Linked DNA regions of Sus scrofa. The main gene of each other region encodes a partner of the protein of the gene in region 4 in a complex. Links are inferred from orthologs where the notes say so. Each region holds a gene or a part of one and is shown on either strand. Other genes may lie near its edges. The genes, in order: HPCA, AIFM3, NCS1 and NMT1.

Region 1 (2,883 bases), on a different chromosome or scaffold from region 4:
TGGGATGCACAGCTGGGGGGCTGGAATCAGGAGATTTTCCTTTTGCATCACAGCCTCCAAGCCAACAAGGGCAGGAGCAGGCAGGGTTGGGGCCCTCCTGGGAGGAAGGATGGCTCAAGGAAGGTTTTTCCTCAAACCCCCACACATCTAGAATCTTTCTCTCGGCTCCAAATAAAGAACACGCTCCTTACCTGGGTATGATTCCCAATTCCACCAAGGCTGAGATCTACCAGGGTGGGGGTAGACGTGAGGGAGCTTGCCCCATGGCTGGGGAAGGGAAGTCTGGCCTCATGGCTGGTGGGGGCGAGGGAGAGGCTGGAGTTCTGGTATCTAGGTAAGGGAGGGTGGACTCCGAGGGGCAGACCAAGCCAGAGCCTGTGTCTATCAGTGCCAAGGGAGAGACTGACTCTTGAACTGGGCGTTGCTAACCACCGGCTTGCTTGGACGTTGAGGGGACTGCAGGATTCCTTTCTCCGTAGGCTTCCCAGAGGGCAGACCCTGGGGCTGGCAATCTGACCCCAGCCTGGAATAGACACAAGGGCGAGGAAGCTGAGAGCCGGGAGAGGGCCAGTGACGGCGGGGAGGGGAAACCCGGCTCCTCTTGCTCAGAACTGGGAGGCGCTGCTGGGGTCGCACTGCAGCAGACGCACGATGGACGGGTCGCTTTTGGCCCCGCGGATGAACTCCTCCAGGGACAGCTTGCCTGCGAGACAAGGGGCGCAATGATGGGGGAGAAGGCGGCAGCAAAGAGAGGGGACGCAGAGCAGGACCGCAGAAGAGGAAGGGGGAGTGGCGCCCGCCCCGCCCCGGCCTCCTCACCGTCGTTGTTTGTATCCATTTGGCGGAAGATTTTCTCCGTCCTCTTTTCCGGGGTCGACTCGTCCTCTGGCATCTTCATCACGGAAGAAACCATCTTGTAAATGGCCTAGGGGTTGGGTGGGGAAGGCAGGGAGTGAGGGGAGCCTGCCTGAACCCTCCACCCCCAACTTTGCAAAACGCCTCCAGCTGTGCCGACGATCGCTGCTCCCGCCGTGGTGAGGCGGAGGGGGGGTGACGGAGGCGTGGGTAACTGGGGAAGGAGTGACTGGGATGGCTTCCCAGAAGAGGGGGCTCTTGGAGCTGGCCCGGACCAAGTTTCCTCGGGGCACTCGGTGGGAAAGGGATTGCTGGCAGAGAGATCTGCGTGTACAAAGGCCCCGAAGCGGGAAGCTCTGAGTGGGCGCTGGGAATTTGGAGGTGGCTGAATGCAGGCGGTCAGGAGAAATGCTGGAGGACATCGGGGCCCAGATGGCGAAGGGCCTGGCACCCAGGACTTAGGAGCTCTTGCCAAGCGCCACAAGTACCGGGTTAAGTACCAGGTTCGAAGAACTACTCTGAAATTCCAGGGCTCCAGGAAAAGGCCCGCACTCGATGGCCGACAGGGGGCGCTGGTCAAGGTGGGGGTGGTGGCACTGGGCTGCGATGCCACTCTGGCCAGCAGGGGGCGCAGGGTCGCCCTGAGGGCTGGGGGCCTGAGGCTGCTGGGCCCACGGGGAGCGGGGATATAACGCAAATAAACGCATAGGCGCATCTGCTGGGGGCGAGGAGAGCTTGGGCTGTGCTGGGCCCAGGACCGCAGCTGCCAGGTGCAGGAGCTCTGGAGGCGACTCAAAGGAGGGATTTTCGCGGTAAGTGTACACCGAGCACGTAGGGCTTGGTCTGTGGGCTGGGTCCTGGGGCCCAGAGCTCAAGGACCAGACCGGTCATCTCACTCTACCAGCTTTTTACTACTGAAACCTCCAAGAAGTCTGCCTTCTTCTCCTGTCCCATAAACTTCCCTAGCCTCAGATTCGGCTTTGGCCTCCCGCAGTGGTCTCTTCTGGCCTCTCTCCCTCGGGTCTGTTCCCTACGCTGCCTCTGAAAGCGTTTCCCAAACGCAGATCTCCATCAGCAAGTCCCTAGCCCAGGGGCCGCCCCCTCGTTCCCATCTTACACAGGCCTCCCTCCAGGACTGCCTTGCACCCGGCTCCTTCTGGATGCTGCCCCACGCTCCTTCTGCTGCCTCCCACTCCTCCTTGGGGCTCTCTTTACATGGTGCTTTGTTAGGGAGGCCTCCTCTGATCCAGGGTGGGTCAGGGCCCATACGCTGCCCCAGAGTCCCCTTTGGAGACGCCTCGCCGAAGAAATTATGCCTTTGTAGGAGTGCTCCTTGCCCCCAGCATACAGATGAGAACCGTGGACATCTAGCTAGTGCTCAGATCCCCAGAACGTAGGCACAGTGCCTGGCATCTGGCAGGGACTCCCTTGTTTAAAAGCTGTTGGCACCTCCCACTGCCTTCCTTTACCAAGTCCAAACATTTGGCCCTTGGCATTCAAGGCACTTCACACTCTGGTCCCTGCTGACCTCTCCATCAGGCCTCCCCCCGTAAGTGATTTTGCCACAACCAGACACCCCTGTGCCTTTCAGGATTCCCAGCATTTACAGTTTCTGCCTGGAACAATAACACTAGCTACCATTTACAGACCCCTACTATGTGCAAGGGACTTAACATGCATTATTCTCATGCTTGCAACAGCTCTGAAAAGCAGGTATTGAGATCGAGACAAGAAACTGAGGCTCAGAAAGAGAATTGATGACAGAGACCAGATTAGAACCTGCTTCCTCTTAGCGGCTGGTTAGGTGCTTGTGGGATGCTGATGACCCCTCCAAGCAGTGTGTTTGAAGTAAGGCGGACAAGGAGTGGCATCCTGATTCCGCTAATCACTTGCTGTGTAGCCTTGGGCAAGTACTTAACCTCAATTTCCTCATCTGTAAAATGGGGCAATCCTAACTCCCTTATCAGGATATATAGAGTATTAGACTATCCTGATAAGGGAGTTAGGGTTGGATAGTTGGCAAGACTA
Region 2 (4,268 bases), on a different chromosome or scaffold from region 4:
AAGGTCACACAGGTGGGCAGGAGAGGTGAAAAGGGCCAGGACATATCCCCCCCTCCACCTCACGGCAATTTTGAGAACTCAGGCTTCTTTTGAGGGGGAGGAGGCTCAGAGGGGTAATACATGCTCTGGTCACACAGGGGCTCACAGTGTCCCCAGAGCCACCCTCCCCCACCCTGAGGGAGACAGCATCTTCTGCCCCCACTCAGCAGCAGGAGGAACACGTCTCCCCTTTCTGAGAAAGATTTTGCTGTTATTTCCACCACCAGCACCCTAAGCCCCAGAGAAAGAGGGCTTCAGTGACTGCCCCCTCACCCCACGCCTGCCCTTAGTGTTAACATTCGGAGGGAGCTGCTGCCTGCCCAGCCTGACCTACTTTGGAGACAGAGGGGGAGGGAGAGGAGGACGGTGGCAGGAGGGGGAGGAGGAAGAAGAAAGGAGGTACCTGGCTTGGGCTTGGAGAAGCAGCCGCCCATGGCGAGTGGCCTGTGGGTAGGGCAGGTGCAGAGGTGGTGGGCCGTGGGAGGCCTAGGGTGCCCCAGGGGGCAGGACCTTCTGAGGCCCTTAGAGAGGTCGGAGCTGCTTCGAGGACCTGCGGGGAGACAGCATCTATGGGGAGGAGGGCTTTGATGAGGCCTGAGGGCAGAGGCACAGAAAGAGAGTGGGGGACTTCTGAAAGAGGCCTGCCTAGGAGCTGGGACCCTGGTGTGTAGGGGAGCCGGGTCCCAGAGGAAACCCCGCTTCCAGGCCCCCTAAGCTCAGCACCCTCCCTCCCTTCCCCCTTTGCCTGGGCCCCTCTGCTCCAACCTCAGCTGCCCTTTAGGTCCAGGAAATCTGCCCACCTCTGCTGCCCTCTAAAAGCCTGTGGTCTAGGCACTCTAGGACTCTCCCCTCTCCAGGGAGGCCACATGCCTGGGGTCCAGCCTGGGTCAGTTTGGCAGACCAGAGCCTTCTTGATCCTAGGGATCCTGTAGGTTCCTCCTCCATAGGGGTGACATTTAGTTCTCCCTGGCCCTGGCCCCACCCTGGCTGTCAGCCCTGATACCCACCTCCTCCAAGGACAGCCACTGCTTCTCGTTCCCAGCCCCACGGTAGACCAAGCTGCCCGGCCCTGGAAGGCAGGGCAAGGGGGCAGGGGTCCAGGAGACCAGGCAGCTCAGCCTCCACCCCTCCTCCCAGTGTGAGCTGTGGCCAGGAGGGGCTGGGGGCGGGGCTGGGCCCTGCCACTGGTCCCCAGGGAAACCCAGCTCCATGTGAACAGAAGTGGGCAGCCAGCCCGGGGCCTGATGGGCTTGGGGGAAAAGGAGGCCTGGCACACAGCCCTGGCTTCTACCCTACTCCTCTGCTCTTCACAAATGCCCCTGGTGTTGAGGTCATGCCCAGGAAACCGAGGGGCCAAGGGCTTGCCAAGGTCAAGCAGCAGGTAGGGGCATCCAGGTGGCCTTCCAACCCCTCCCATCTTAGTTTGTTCCCTCAAGCCATGGGGCTGGGGAAGAGGCCACCCTGTCAACAAAGGAAGCCCCGCAGCCAAGGACCTCTCAAGGCCACAGGGTGGGCCTTCTGGAAGATGCAGCTTCCACACTGGACTTTGGAAGGCCCAGGACAAAGGCGTAGCTGCCTTGTTTACATGACCTCGGCAGGCTGAGGCCCACCTGGTCTTCTCCAGATTTCTTCAAGGGCCTGGGTGGGTGTCTGAGAGCAGGGAGCCAAGAGGGAGGAAAGGCTGGAGAAGGCTTGTCTATTGCCTGGCCCCTGGTGTCACCTGCCCTGGAGGGCCATCACAGGTGAGGAGGCAGTGTCAACTGAAGGCCACCTGGGCGCACCCATGCTCCTTCCCCCAAGGCAGGTCTGTAAAACTGAGCCACCACCTGCCCCACCTGCTCCTCCCTGGCATGAGGGTGCCCCTCCCCAGATCCTGGCTGTCCCTTTGCCTCTGCCCTGCCTGCCACCTTCGTGCCTGGCCTCAGGCCTCACTGTTGGGCCACAGATTCCAGAAAAAGTGGGACTTCAATTTGCCACCAGGTGCCTGTGCATGCGGCTCCCTCCCTTTCCTGGGGACCAGGTGTCTTCCCTCCAGGGTCTTGGGCCTACTGAGGGACTAAACCTCCAGGCCTACTGAGTGCCAGGCTGGCATGGAGCCTCCTACCTCCAGATGTCCCTACTCAAGGCAAAGGTCCTGGCCAGGGGCACCAGGAGAGGGTACCCCAAGTTTCTGGAGTGCTGTCCCTTGTCCACACACTACCCAAAGCCAAAAAGCTATAACAGTGCTAACTACCTACCAGGAGCCGGCGTCTTGTCCCTGGACCAGTCCCAGGGCCCAGCGGTGCCGGTGGGGCAAAACTGCTCCCCTCTCAGCCCCGGACTTGCTCTTCTCCGGGGATCCCTGGGCCCTTCTCAGGCGCACCCTGAGGGGTTCCTTCCTGCCGCTCCCGCCCTCAGTGGCTCCCGGCGTCCTGAGGGCTGCGGCCCTTCCCTCCTACCCCTCGGGGCTCAGGGCAAGTCTCCCGCCTTTGCGCGTAGCCCTGCTCCCCGAAGCCCTTGCCAGCCATCTTCCCGCTCCGGCCAGGTTCCCGGACCCGCCGGGCAGCCCAGGAAGGCGACTGGCACACAGTAGGGCCCCGCGGCGAGCGGGCGGCACGGCGGGGGAGGGGAGAAGGAAGGGGGCGCCCGGGCCGCCCTTCCCCTCCGGGCGGCCGCCCCCCAGTCCCCCACGGGCCAGCCCGGGGCGCGGGGCGGGGCGGGTGCCGGCCCGGGCGGACCCGCGGGCTCACCTGCGCTCGGCGCGGGCGTCCGCTCCGGAGCCGCTGGGGCCGCGGCGGGGCGGGGCCGGCGCTGCGGCGACACTGCGGCCCGGCGACCGGTGCAAATGGGGCGCCCGGGCGGGACGCTGGGCGGGGCGGGGGCGGGGGAAGGCCGCAGGCGCCCGGACGGGTCTGGGTCGCCGGCATCTTCGCGACCCCAAGGGGTGCCATGCTGGGCCGAGCTCCAGTCTTTTTCCTTTTCTTTCTTTCCCAATTCTCAGAACGTCTGCGGGCGGTGTGGGGCAAGTTGAATCACCCGCAGAAACCTCCCCAAGAAAGAAAAACCAAACAGCTCCTGACGGCCCAAGACACCCTGGCCAGCTGTCCTCCCCTCTGCTCTGTCCACACGCAGAACGTTCTACTTTATATTTGGTTACATTTTCTCTTTCCCACTTGTCATTATACCAGGAGAACGTTATATTCATAAATTACAATGGTGCATTGGGAGTTGTGTCCCCTCCTCCAAGAAACTCTTCCAGCAGCCTTCCAAGACTGTCTCAGCCCTGCTGCTTGGCTCCTGGCCCCTCAGGTTTCCTTATGCTGTCCAGATCTCTGCGCTGAACTCAGGTAGGGTTTGTCTCTCCAGCAAACCGGGTTTCAGTGACCATGTGGGAGATGAAAGAAGCAAGTGTTCCAGGACATGGTGGTTCATCCAGCACTAAGCACATGGGGCCACCAACTGTTGTCCTGTCATCATTGCTCCTTTGTTAGCTTTGCCATCTCCCCCTTTCTGGGCCTTGCTCCCCTTAGGTAAGGACGACAAGGACAGTAGCAACAGTCCCCTGTGCCAGGCTGACCAGCCTCCGTGGCAGCCCAGGGGGCAAGTACAACTGCCCTCATTTTACAGAAGGGGAATCTCAGGGAGGCTGAATCACACCAGGGGCAGGAACAGGGTCTACGTGGGTCACACGCTGCAGGTGGGTGTGGGGCGAGGCCTGGAGGGACAGGCAGCTCTGCTCAATCCATCCCTCTGAGGCCATGTTAGGTTTCCATAGCAAGATTGTTGCCACGGTCACAGGAGTCCTGCTGTCACTGGGCAGATGGTGTTGCTTGAGCCTGGTGGCCTTGGCCTCCAAAGAGCCTGTCCCTGCTCCACACGTGTGCTGACCTTGCAGCCCTACCCACCTCCAACAGCCCCCTAGTCAGGAATGCAGTGTGCCCCATAAATAACCATGGCTGTGGCTTAGCTTGCACTTCTTCCTCTGATCTTCACAACAGCCAAGGAGGAAGGTTCTCAGTACCATCTTCATTTCACAGATGTGGAAACTGAGGTTCAGAGAAGTTAGAGACTCTGCAAAGCCACACTGCTACTGAGAGGCAGGGCAGAGATGTAGGTCCTGGCTGGCCAGCTGGCCAAGGCTGCAGGGTCTCCAATGCAGTTTCAGTCCTAATCTGTGACCTTTGTGAGTCAGTGAACCCCTTCTTCCCTGGGTTCCCCAAGAATCTGGGGGTGACTGCAATGCCCTCTAG
Region 3 (3,644 bases), on a different chromosome or scaffold from region 4:
GCCCACGTTGCTCTTGCTGTGGTGTAGGCCGGCAGCTATAGCTCTGATTCGACCCCTCGTCTAGGAACCTCCATAAGCCGTGGGTGCAGCCCTAAAAAGACAAAAAAAAAAAAAAAAGAAGGCTTTCTTAACCTGGGGTCTTTGGATAGAATTCAGCAGGTCTGTGAACTAAAATAGGGAAAAAGGAGGTCTTTCTTTTCACTAACATCTAACTGAAATTTAGCGCTTCCTTCCATAATGAATCTAGGTGACAATCCCCCATGGAACCAGAAGTACCTGTGACTTTGTCAGCTGTGGAGATCACAGCATTTTTGTAACACATCACAGCTGCTGCAAAGCATCAAGAAGACAGATCAGCACTTTGAAATTCGGGCTGGTTAAACCCACCACTCAACCTTATCAGCCACCGTTGTGGCTCAGTGGTTAACGAATCTGACTAGGAACCATGAGGTTGTGGGTTCGATCCCTGGCCTCGCTCAGTGGGTTAAGGACCCAGCGTTGCCGTGAGCTGTGGTGCAGGTAGCAGATGTGGCTCGGATCCCTTGTTTCTGTGGCTGTGGTGTAGGCTGGCAGCTACAGCTCCGATTAGACCCCTAGCCTGGGAACCTCCATATGCCGCAGGTGCGGCCCTAAAAAGACAAAAAAAAGGGAGTTCCCGTCATCGTGGTGCAGCGGAAACGAATCCGACTAGGAACCATGAGGTTGCAGGTTCAATCCCTGGCCTCTCTCAGTGGGTTACGGATCTGGCGTTGCCATGAGCTGTGGTGTAGGTCGAAGACACAGTTCGGATCTGGCGTTGCTGTGGCTGTGGTGTAGGCCAGCGGCTACAGCTCTGATTAGACCCCAGCCTGGGAACCTCCACATGCCGCGGATGCGGCCCTAAAAAGACAAAAGAAAAAAAAAAAAGAAGAAGCAGCTCATATAAAACCACATCACAAATACTTTTTAAAAAATATTTTGAGGCATTCTCTTGTGGCACAGAAGGTTAAGGATCTGGTGGTGTCACTGCAGCAGCTCAGGTCACTGCTATGGTACCGGTTCAATCCCAGGCCCGGGAACTTTCACATGCCACAGGTGTGGCCAAAAAAAATGGGATAAGTCTCTTCCAAAATAGCTTTCTTTTTGACCCTACGAATGTTATCTGATGCACTTAAAAACATTCTGAGACAGCTTCTCCAGAATGTCAAAGGGGTCTGTGGCAAAAACTGAAAAGGTTAAGAAGCTGAGTTAAGGAAAAAGGGTTGGACGAACTGACTTAAAACCCTGCATGTCTGCGGGCTGGACCAGTGGCCATCACACCAGGGGTCTCACCTTGTCCATCATGGCAAAGATCCGGTCCACCCTTTTCTCGGGGGTGTTCTCCTCCTCTGGCAGCTCCACGGTGTTGCCCTGTCGGGGACAGGCGAGGTGGGGCCGGCTCCTGGCCCTCTGCCCTCTGGGCCCTTGGCCCCCAACCATGCCCCCCAGACCTGAACTGGTTCCAGGTGAAGACTGCGTCTCCCTCCCACTCCCTGCCGTGCCCCCATCCGCCCTCTGCTCTGGACCAGCCCCATCAGCAGCCCCCGCCCTCCCCCAAGAGGCACAGAGCAACCCCAGGCAGTGACCCTCACTTGCCAGCTCCCACCCCAGGCAGGAGGGCGGCCGCGTGGGGATGCCGCCTCTGGGCCAGGCCCCATCGCTGAGTTTGATGCCCTGCTGCTGCCCCCACCCCCACACCCCCAGGGCCCAGGCCTCTCACCACCATCTGGTAAATGGCATCCACAATGTCCAGCATCTCGTTCCTGGTGATGTAGCCGTCGTTATCCAAGTCGTAGAGCTTGAAGGCCCCTGCAGTCAAGCAGCCAGGGCGAGTGAGCCCTGATCCGGGGCTGGGCTGGCGGCCGCTCCCCCTCCCCTCGGCACCCCGCCAACAGCCCCGTTATTCATCCCGCCAAGACAGACAGGGGACACACACACACACCATGTCACCTAGTTACTGAAAAAGCGTAAATGTAAAAAGGAGGGGGCAGAGCTCTCTTGTGGTGCAGCGGGTTAAGGATCTGGCCTTGTCACTGCAGCAGCTTGGGTCACTGCTGTGGTGCAGGTTCGATCCCTGGCCTGGGAACTTTCATAGGCCGCAGGCACAGCCAAAACATAAACCGAGGGGGCTGGGTCTGTAAGAGCTGAGGCCTCGGAGGCTGATGCTGAGAGACAGAAGGGAGCCCAGGAGCAGCCCTAAAGCCACCCCTCTCCTTCCCCACCCCTGCCTCTGCCTCCTCTCGGCCCACCCCCTTTCCACAACTATGCTGGATCCAGCTAGGGTCAACTTGGAAAAGAAAATAATATGCCTAGGGAGGGGGGAGGAGCTTTGGCATAAATAAAATCCTCTTTTATTCCTAAAAAGAGAAAGAAAGAAATTGCAGTGCTTTCTCGGTGCCGATGCGATGCGGTGAAGTTGTCTCAGTGGGAAGTGAATCCCGGCCCAGCTGCTTTCATCTTCCTGCTAGATCCCCTCTCGCGCCAGCACGGGTGCAGCCTCTCCCCCAGTAGCCTTCTCTCGACCCTCCTCAGGCCTCGCACATGCTGATCCCCTGCCTGGAACCCTCTTCCCGCCCCCCGACCCCCTGCCAGCTTCACCCTTCCCAGCTCGGCTCCCAACTCATAACAGGGTCAGTTCCTCTCTGATCGGCTCACACCTCCCTCTTCCAGCCCCGGCTGCAGTTTTATGGGCTCTTTTGGATAAAGTCCCTGAGCTACAGGGACAGCCACGAGAGCAGGTGCCCCTCGATCTCATACACCTGTGGATTCCGGGCCTCCAGCCCAGCACAGACATGAGGCCACGTTAGGTCAATAACTGTTAGGTGAACCAGTAAATGGACACACGCCGTCAGTCATCCAAACAGCCTCCCGAGTGCTGGATCCAGCCCTGGAACCGGGTCTGAACCGCACGCTGCCCGGCGCCAGGTGCACCTTCGAGAATGCCCTGTGCTCCTGCCCCATCTGTCCACCCGCCTGGCCGCCTCCAGGAAACCACCTCCGACCTGGAAGGGCAGGACGTCTGTGCCACCCTCAGTCCTGGACAGACGGCCTGGCCCAGAGATTTGGCCTCCCTCCAGCCCAGGACGACCCAGCGGCCGCCCGACGGAGCCCAGCGGGCAGGACTTACACCGCAGCTTCTCGTCCAGGGTTCCCCTCGAGGTCACCGACAGCGCCTGGATGAACTCGGAGAACTCAATCCGCCCGTCCTGCGGCAGGGAGAGAGGGATGGGGGTAAATGCTGAGCTGCCCGGTCAGGACGCACCTTGGGCAGGTGGTGATGGGCAGAAGCAGGTAGCTAAGCAGACGCAGGGGTGAGGGATGGGGAAGGAGGGGGAGGGGAGGGCCAGAAATGGGACCGACCAGGCAGGAGGGACAGGGTAAGGCCAGAGGGAGAGCTTGACTCCACATCTGGCGGGAGGAAGAGGCACCCCCAGCGCCCGTGACCCTCTCTGGGCAGGAGCCGCCCAGAATCCCCTCTCTCAGACCCTTGGCCTTGAACCACAGGCACAGAGGCTTTAGAAGGTGGGGCTCTGGACTGTCCGATCCTATTTGTTTTGCCGATAAGGAAACTGAGGCTTGGAGAGGACAGAGTTCTTCCCAGGGCCAGGCAGGGTGGCCGTCAGCAG
Region 4 (3,644 bases):
ATTTAAAATATTTATATATATATATAATATATATATCCTTTTATTATTCACCCGTTAACTCCATAATATGCCAATCACGAGCTAGTTTCAGCAGTTACATTCCCTTGATCACGGCTGCATAACGTGTGATTAATTGGAAAAGAGGGAGACCAGAGACACGGCCAGAGGTGACATCACGCAGCCTACGCCATTGCAATACAATTGTCAAGTTCAGTGGCGGTTTGGTAAAGCCGGTTCAGTTCTGCTCCCCTTGCCAGGGATTCTCACGTTTGTGAAAAGTGGACCAACAAGTGGTGGGGTTCCATTTCTCAGTGGCTTTATCCAGAATCTCACTGGCAACTGATTACTGTAACACCAGCCCAACCTAGGAGAGCCAAGGGGGAAAGGCAGAGATGTGACAATTGTCCCAAGACTGTCCCACTTCCCTGCCCAGACCTGAAGTTCCAATGACGGAGCAGCAGCACGGCCCCGTGCTGTGGGAGCAGACTCCCGGTGGCCCCGGGCTCGCACACAACCTCTGTGGTGCTTTAGATGTAAAGCTGCCATCGGCATCCTGAGAAGCACCGGTCACAGGCCTCCCCCAGCTCATGGGCCAGTTATCCTATAAATGCTGATGACCCCGTGGCCCTGAGCTGCCCTTCGGAGCCGGTGGAGGGAGGCCATGCAGGATGGGGGCGGCAGAGGAGAAACCCCTCGGCTCCTCAGACTCTCCCTTCCTGGCTAATTGTGGGCACAAGACTCAGGTACTGTCTCAGGATGGTGGCCGAAGGCCCAGCCTTGTCAGATGAGGCGGCTCACCTGGTGGGCAGAGAGGCTGGTGACAAGCTCCCTGCTTCCTGTGGCTCCAGGGCCTGTGCCCTCTGCCCCCGTCACAGCAGCGGCTGGAAGGGGACACTGACCCTGTTGGTCTGGCCTCCAGAGGGAGGGCCCCACGGATGCTGGATCCCTGCCCCGAGGCCCGTCTGCATGGCAGACGCCAACTCCCTGCCCAGGGCGCGCGGCCGGCACGTACCTTCTCCGCCCCCATGCTGGGGCACTTCCAATTGTAAAGGTAATACTGCAGGTTGCCGTCCCCTATGCCGAACTTGAGCTTCTCCAGGAAGGTTTTGTTCTCCATGAGATCCAGTGCATTGAACACGTCAAACCCTTTCTGTGCGGCGGCGTCAGGGAGAAACAAGACCAGGTGAAGACAGCAGAGCTGCCGCCCCTGTGGGCCCTCTTCTATCACAGCCGAACCGAACCGAGCCGGCGGCCTCGGGAGCCACCCTCCTTCAGCAGCGCCTGCCGCGTCCCTGTTTCAGCCCGACTCCAGCCAGGGCCTCACTCGCTGGTGGCGGTTCTCATGACACTCTGAGCGCCACCTTACCTGGCCTCTCCTCAGTGTCCCTCTGAGTGCACACTTGTGTACTCAGTATCCAGGCTGTGCTCCCACTGTTCCTTGTCACGCCTCCCTGAAACACTCTGGTAATTTCCAGTCTTTTCTGAACCTTTTCCTCTGAGAAGTGGACTCCTATGAGCCACGTGGCGTTTGCAAGGCTCCCTCACTCCCTGACACCCCAACTCCTCAGGATTTTATGACATCTGAAGCGCCACTCTGAGACTGAGGCTGACACTTCCTCAATCTCACCAACTCGACTGGAAGCTCTCCCAGGGCAGGGACTGGACTGTCACTGCTTGGCGGGCACACGGACAGGCTGGTGGCCTCTCCAGTGCAAAAGAGGCCTGGGTCCCACCCCTCTGCTCGACGGTCAGCTGCTCCAGTGACACCCCGCGACAGCCCAGCCTCCCCGGCCGGATGCTGGGGAAGCGTGAGGAGAACCCCTTTCCTCCCCCCCGAGCAGCGCCTCGAGTGAGAATGAAACCCATGAAAGAAATCCGGAGGTTCAGGTTCAATGCCTGCCTGTGGTGGGGGTGTCCTTGCTCCCTCCTAGTTCTGAGCTGCAGGCTGAAAATGGCTGGGCTGTTCCCTACCGGAGCAGAAGGGCGAGGAGGCCTCCAGGCCTCCAGGCCCCCAGCCAGGGGGCAGCCACCTGCCAGTGGCGCTCCCACCGCCCCACTGCCGCTGCCCGCCCGTCTGCTGCTCACCATTTTGGCAAGAACAAGGGCGTCGCTCATGAGGTCTAGAAGCGGGGTCTGGGTGTGAACGTTGTAGAAAGAATAAGCAGCCTTTAGACTCTTGTGGGTCGGATGGTTCATGATGGTGGAGGGAAGTGTGTAAAAGCTCAGGAAATCTGTCACCTCACCACTTGCATTCTGAAGGGGAGACAACAGAGGAAGGCAGGTCACACACACGAAGGGCCCTGCAGCCTGGGAACAAAGTGGCTCCTGCTGCACTCGCCACCCTCGGGCAGCCCTGCCCCTCTAAGTGAACGGGCAGGAACGGAACCAGCGGAAACCCAGGGGCAGAAAGCGCATCGACCTGAGGACAGACCGGGAGGAAAATCCAGGTCGCGCCACGGGCCCCCAGACACCTGGCCGGCACCAGGCCAAGCGGGGACAGGCAGGGGGTCGAGGGCTCGCCTGACCACCTGACTCAGAGGGGCGCGGGAGACAGGGGCTCACGCCAGGCCCGGAGTCTCATTTTAGAAAAGGCAGGCGACAACTTCCCGTCAGGGCGTCTCAGGTGCCAACGCTCCATCACCTGCTCTTCAGTCCCGAGCCCGGGAAGCCGGCCACTTCGGGAGGACACCCCCCACAAGCTGGGAGGGGGCCCCCGAACACCCCACCACCACTTGCCTCCACCACGAAAGTATCGATGATATTCTCCTGGGGGTAGAACCAGTGCTCCACCTCCTCCTGGCTCATGACCGGCGTGAGGTGGAACTGCCTCAGGTACCGCGTGAGGAGCTGGTGCACTACTGGAATGTCCTTCTTCTCCATTGGTCGTAGCCCAGCTGTCTTGGGAGTCTGGAAGGAAGAAACCAGAGAGCATCAGCCATGCTGACTGTGGGCGCCTCGGCTCCCTCTCGAGTCCCTCAGGAACCGAAAACCTCACGCTGTCTCCCTTCCTACCCCAACCCCCAATCTATCCACCCACGCCTTCAAGAGAGAATCCCCATCCACCGTCCACGGCTGCTCAGGCACCAGTCCTGTCTCTGCAGGGTCACTGGCCCTTCCGGCCGTGACCAAGGCTGGATCCTTGGCTAAGGCCGCTATGTCAATCTCTTATCCACATGGGCCCGGCCGCGTTCCTGGGAAAAAACAACCCATCACACGCCTCCCTGTTCCAAACTCCCCAACACAGAGCACAAGACGTCCACCCTCAGAGTTCCCGTTGTGGCTCAGCAGTTAACAAATCTGACTAGCATCCGTAAGGACGCAGGTTCGATCCCTGGCCTCGCTCAGTGGGTTAAGGACCCGGCCTTGCCGTGAGCTATGGTGTAGGTCGCAAACGCAGCTAGGATCCTGCATTGCTGTGGCCGTGGTGTAGGCCGGCAGCTGTAGCTCTGATTCGACCCCTAGCCTGGGAACCTCCATGTGACGCACCTTCGGCCCCAAAAAAACAAAACAAAAAGAGACTTCCACTCTCTGGACCAGTTGGCTGTTCTGGCTGTGATCTTCCGTCTCTCTAGCCCTGTGGTTCTCAACGGGGGCGATTCTGCCTCCCAGGAGACGATATTCAGAGACATTTTGGTTGTCACAAC

What was found.
Region 1: the proteins of NMT1 (region 4) and HPCA are in contact, whole or in part, in a crystal structure (PDB 7OWM), measured with the Homo sapiens proteins. The link is inferred for Sus scrofa from reciprocal best matches to the Homo sapiens genes NMT1 and HPCA. Residues at the interface, in NP_066565.1 of Homo sapiens: Tyr180, Val181, Glu182, Asp183, Asp184, Asp185, Met187, Phe188, Arg189, Phe190, Tyr192, Ile245, Asn246, Phe247, Thr282, Ala283, Gly284, Tyr296, His298, Ser300, Lys310, Phe311, Ser312, His313, Tyr401, Leu403, Ser405, Tyr420, Gly468, Ile469; in NP_002134.2 of Homo sapiens: Gly2, Lys3, Gln4, Asn5, Ser6, Lys7, Leu8, Arg9.
Region 2: the proteins of NMT1 (region 4) and AIFM3 are in contact, whole or in part, in a crystal structure (PDB 6SJZ), measured with the Homo sapiens proteins. The link is inferred for Sus scrofa from reciprocal best matches to the Homo sapiens genes NMT1 and AIFM3. Residues at the interface, in NP_066565.1 of Homo sapiens: Tyr180, Val181, Glu182, Asp183, Asp184, Asp185, Phe188, Arg189, Phe190, Asn246, Thr282, Ala283, Gly284, Tyr296, His298, Phe311, Tyr401, Ser405, Ile469, Gly470, Asp471, Asn473, Leu474, Leu495, Gln496; in NP_001373743.1 of Homo sapiens: Gly2, Cys4, Phe5, Ser6, Lys7, Pro8.
Region 3: the proteins of NMT1 (region 4) and NCS1 are in contact, whole or in part, in a crystal structure (PDB 5O9S), measured with the Homo sapiens proteins. The link is inferred for Sus scrofa from reciprocal best matches to the Homo sapiens genes NMT1 and NCS1. Residues at the interface, in NP_066565.1 of Homo sapiens: Tyr180, Val181, Glu182, Asp183, Asp184, Asp185, Met187, Phe188, Arg189, Phe190, Tyr192, Asn246, Thr282, Ala283, Gly284, Arg295, Tyr296, His298, Ser300, Lys310, Phe311, Ser312, Tyr401, Leu403, Ser405, Tyr420, Gly468, Ile469, Gly470, Asp471; in NP_055101.2 of Homo sapiens: Gly2, Lys3, Ser4, Asn5, Ser6, Lys7, Leu8, Lys9.

The regions. Positions count from the first base shown.
Region 1 is NC_010448.4:89,193,870-89,196,752, reverse strand, and holds the end of HPCA (neuron-specific calcium-binding protein hippocalcin), read right to left. Parts: intron 926-2,883; coding exon 820-925; intron 704-819; coding exon 606-703; downstream 1-605. UniProt on the Homo sapiens protein: Calcium-binding protein that may play a role in the regulation of voltage-dependent calcium channels. May also play a role in cyclic-nucleotide-mediated signaling through the regulation of adenylate and guanylate cyclases.
Region 2 is NC_010456.5:50,561,206-50,565,473, reverse strand, and holds the start of AIFM3 (apoptosis-inducing factor 3), read right to left. Parts: upstream 2,864-4,268; 5' UTR 2,769-2,863; intron 2,593-2,768; exon of another isoform or gene 2,277-2,592; intron 1,109-2,276; exon of another isoform or gene 1,047-1,108; intron 607-1,046; exon of another isoform or gene 590-606; 5' UTR 474-589; coding exon 443-473; intron 1-442. UniProt on the Homo sapiens protein: Induces apoptosis through a caspase dependent pathway. Reduces mitochondrial membrane potential.
Region 3 is NC_010443.5:270,315,162-270,318,805, reverse strand, and holds part of NCS1 (neuronal calcium sensor 1), read right to left. Parts: intron 3,225-3,644; coding exon 3,146-3,224; intron 1,828-3,145; coding exon 1,739-1,827; intron 1,390-1,738; coding exon 1,312-1,389; intron 1-1,311. UniProt on the Homo sapiens protein: Neuronal calcium sensor, regulator of G protein-coupled receptor phosphorylation in a calcium dependent manner. Directly regulates GRK1 (RHOK), but not GRK2 to GRK5. Can substitute for calmodulin. Stimulates PI4KB kinase activity.
Region 4 is NC_010454.4:18,306,420-18,310,063, forward strand, and holds the end of NMT1 (glycylpeptide N-tetradecanoyltransferase 1), read right to left. Parts: intron 2,908-3,644; coding exon 2,737-2,907; intron 2,254-2,736; coding exon 2,086-2,253; exon of another isoform or gene 1,151-2,085; coding exon 1,013-1,150; intron 365-1,012; coding exon 344-364; 3' UTR 17-343; downstream 1-16.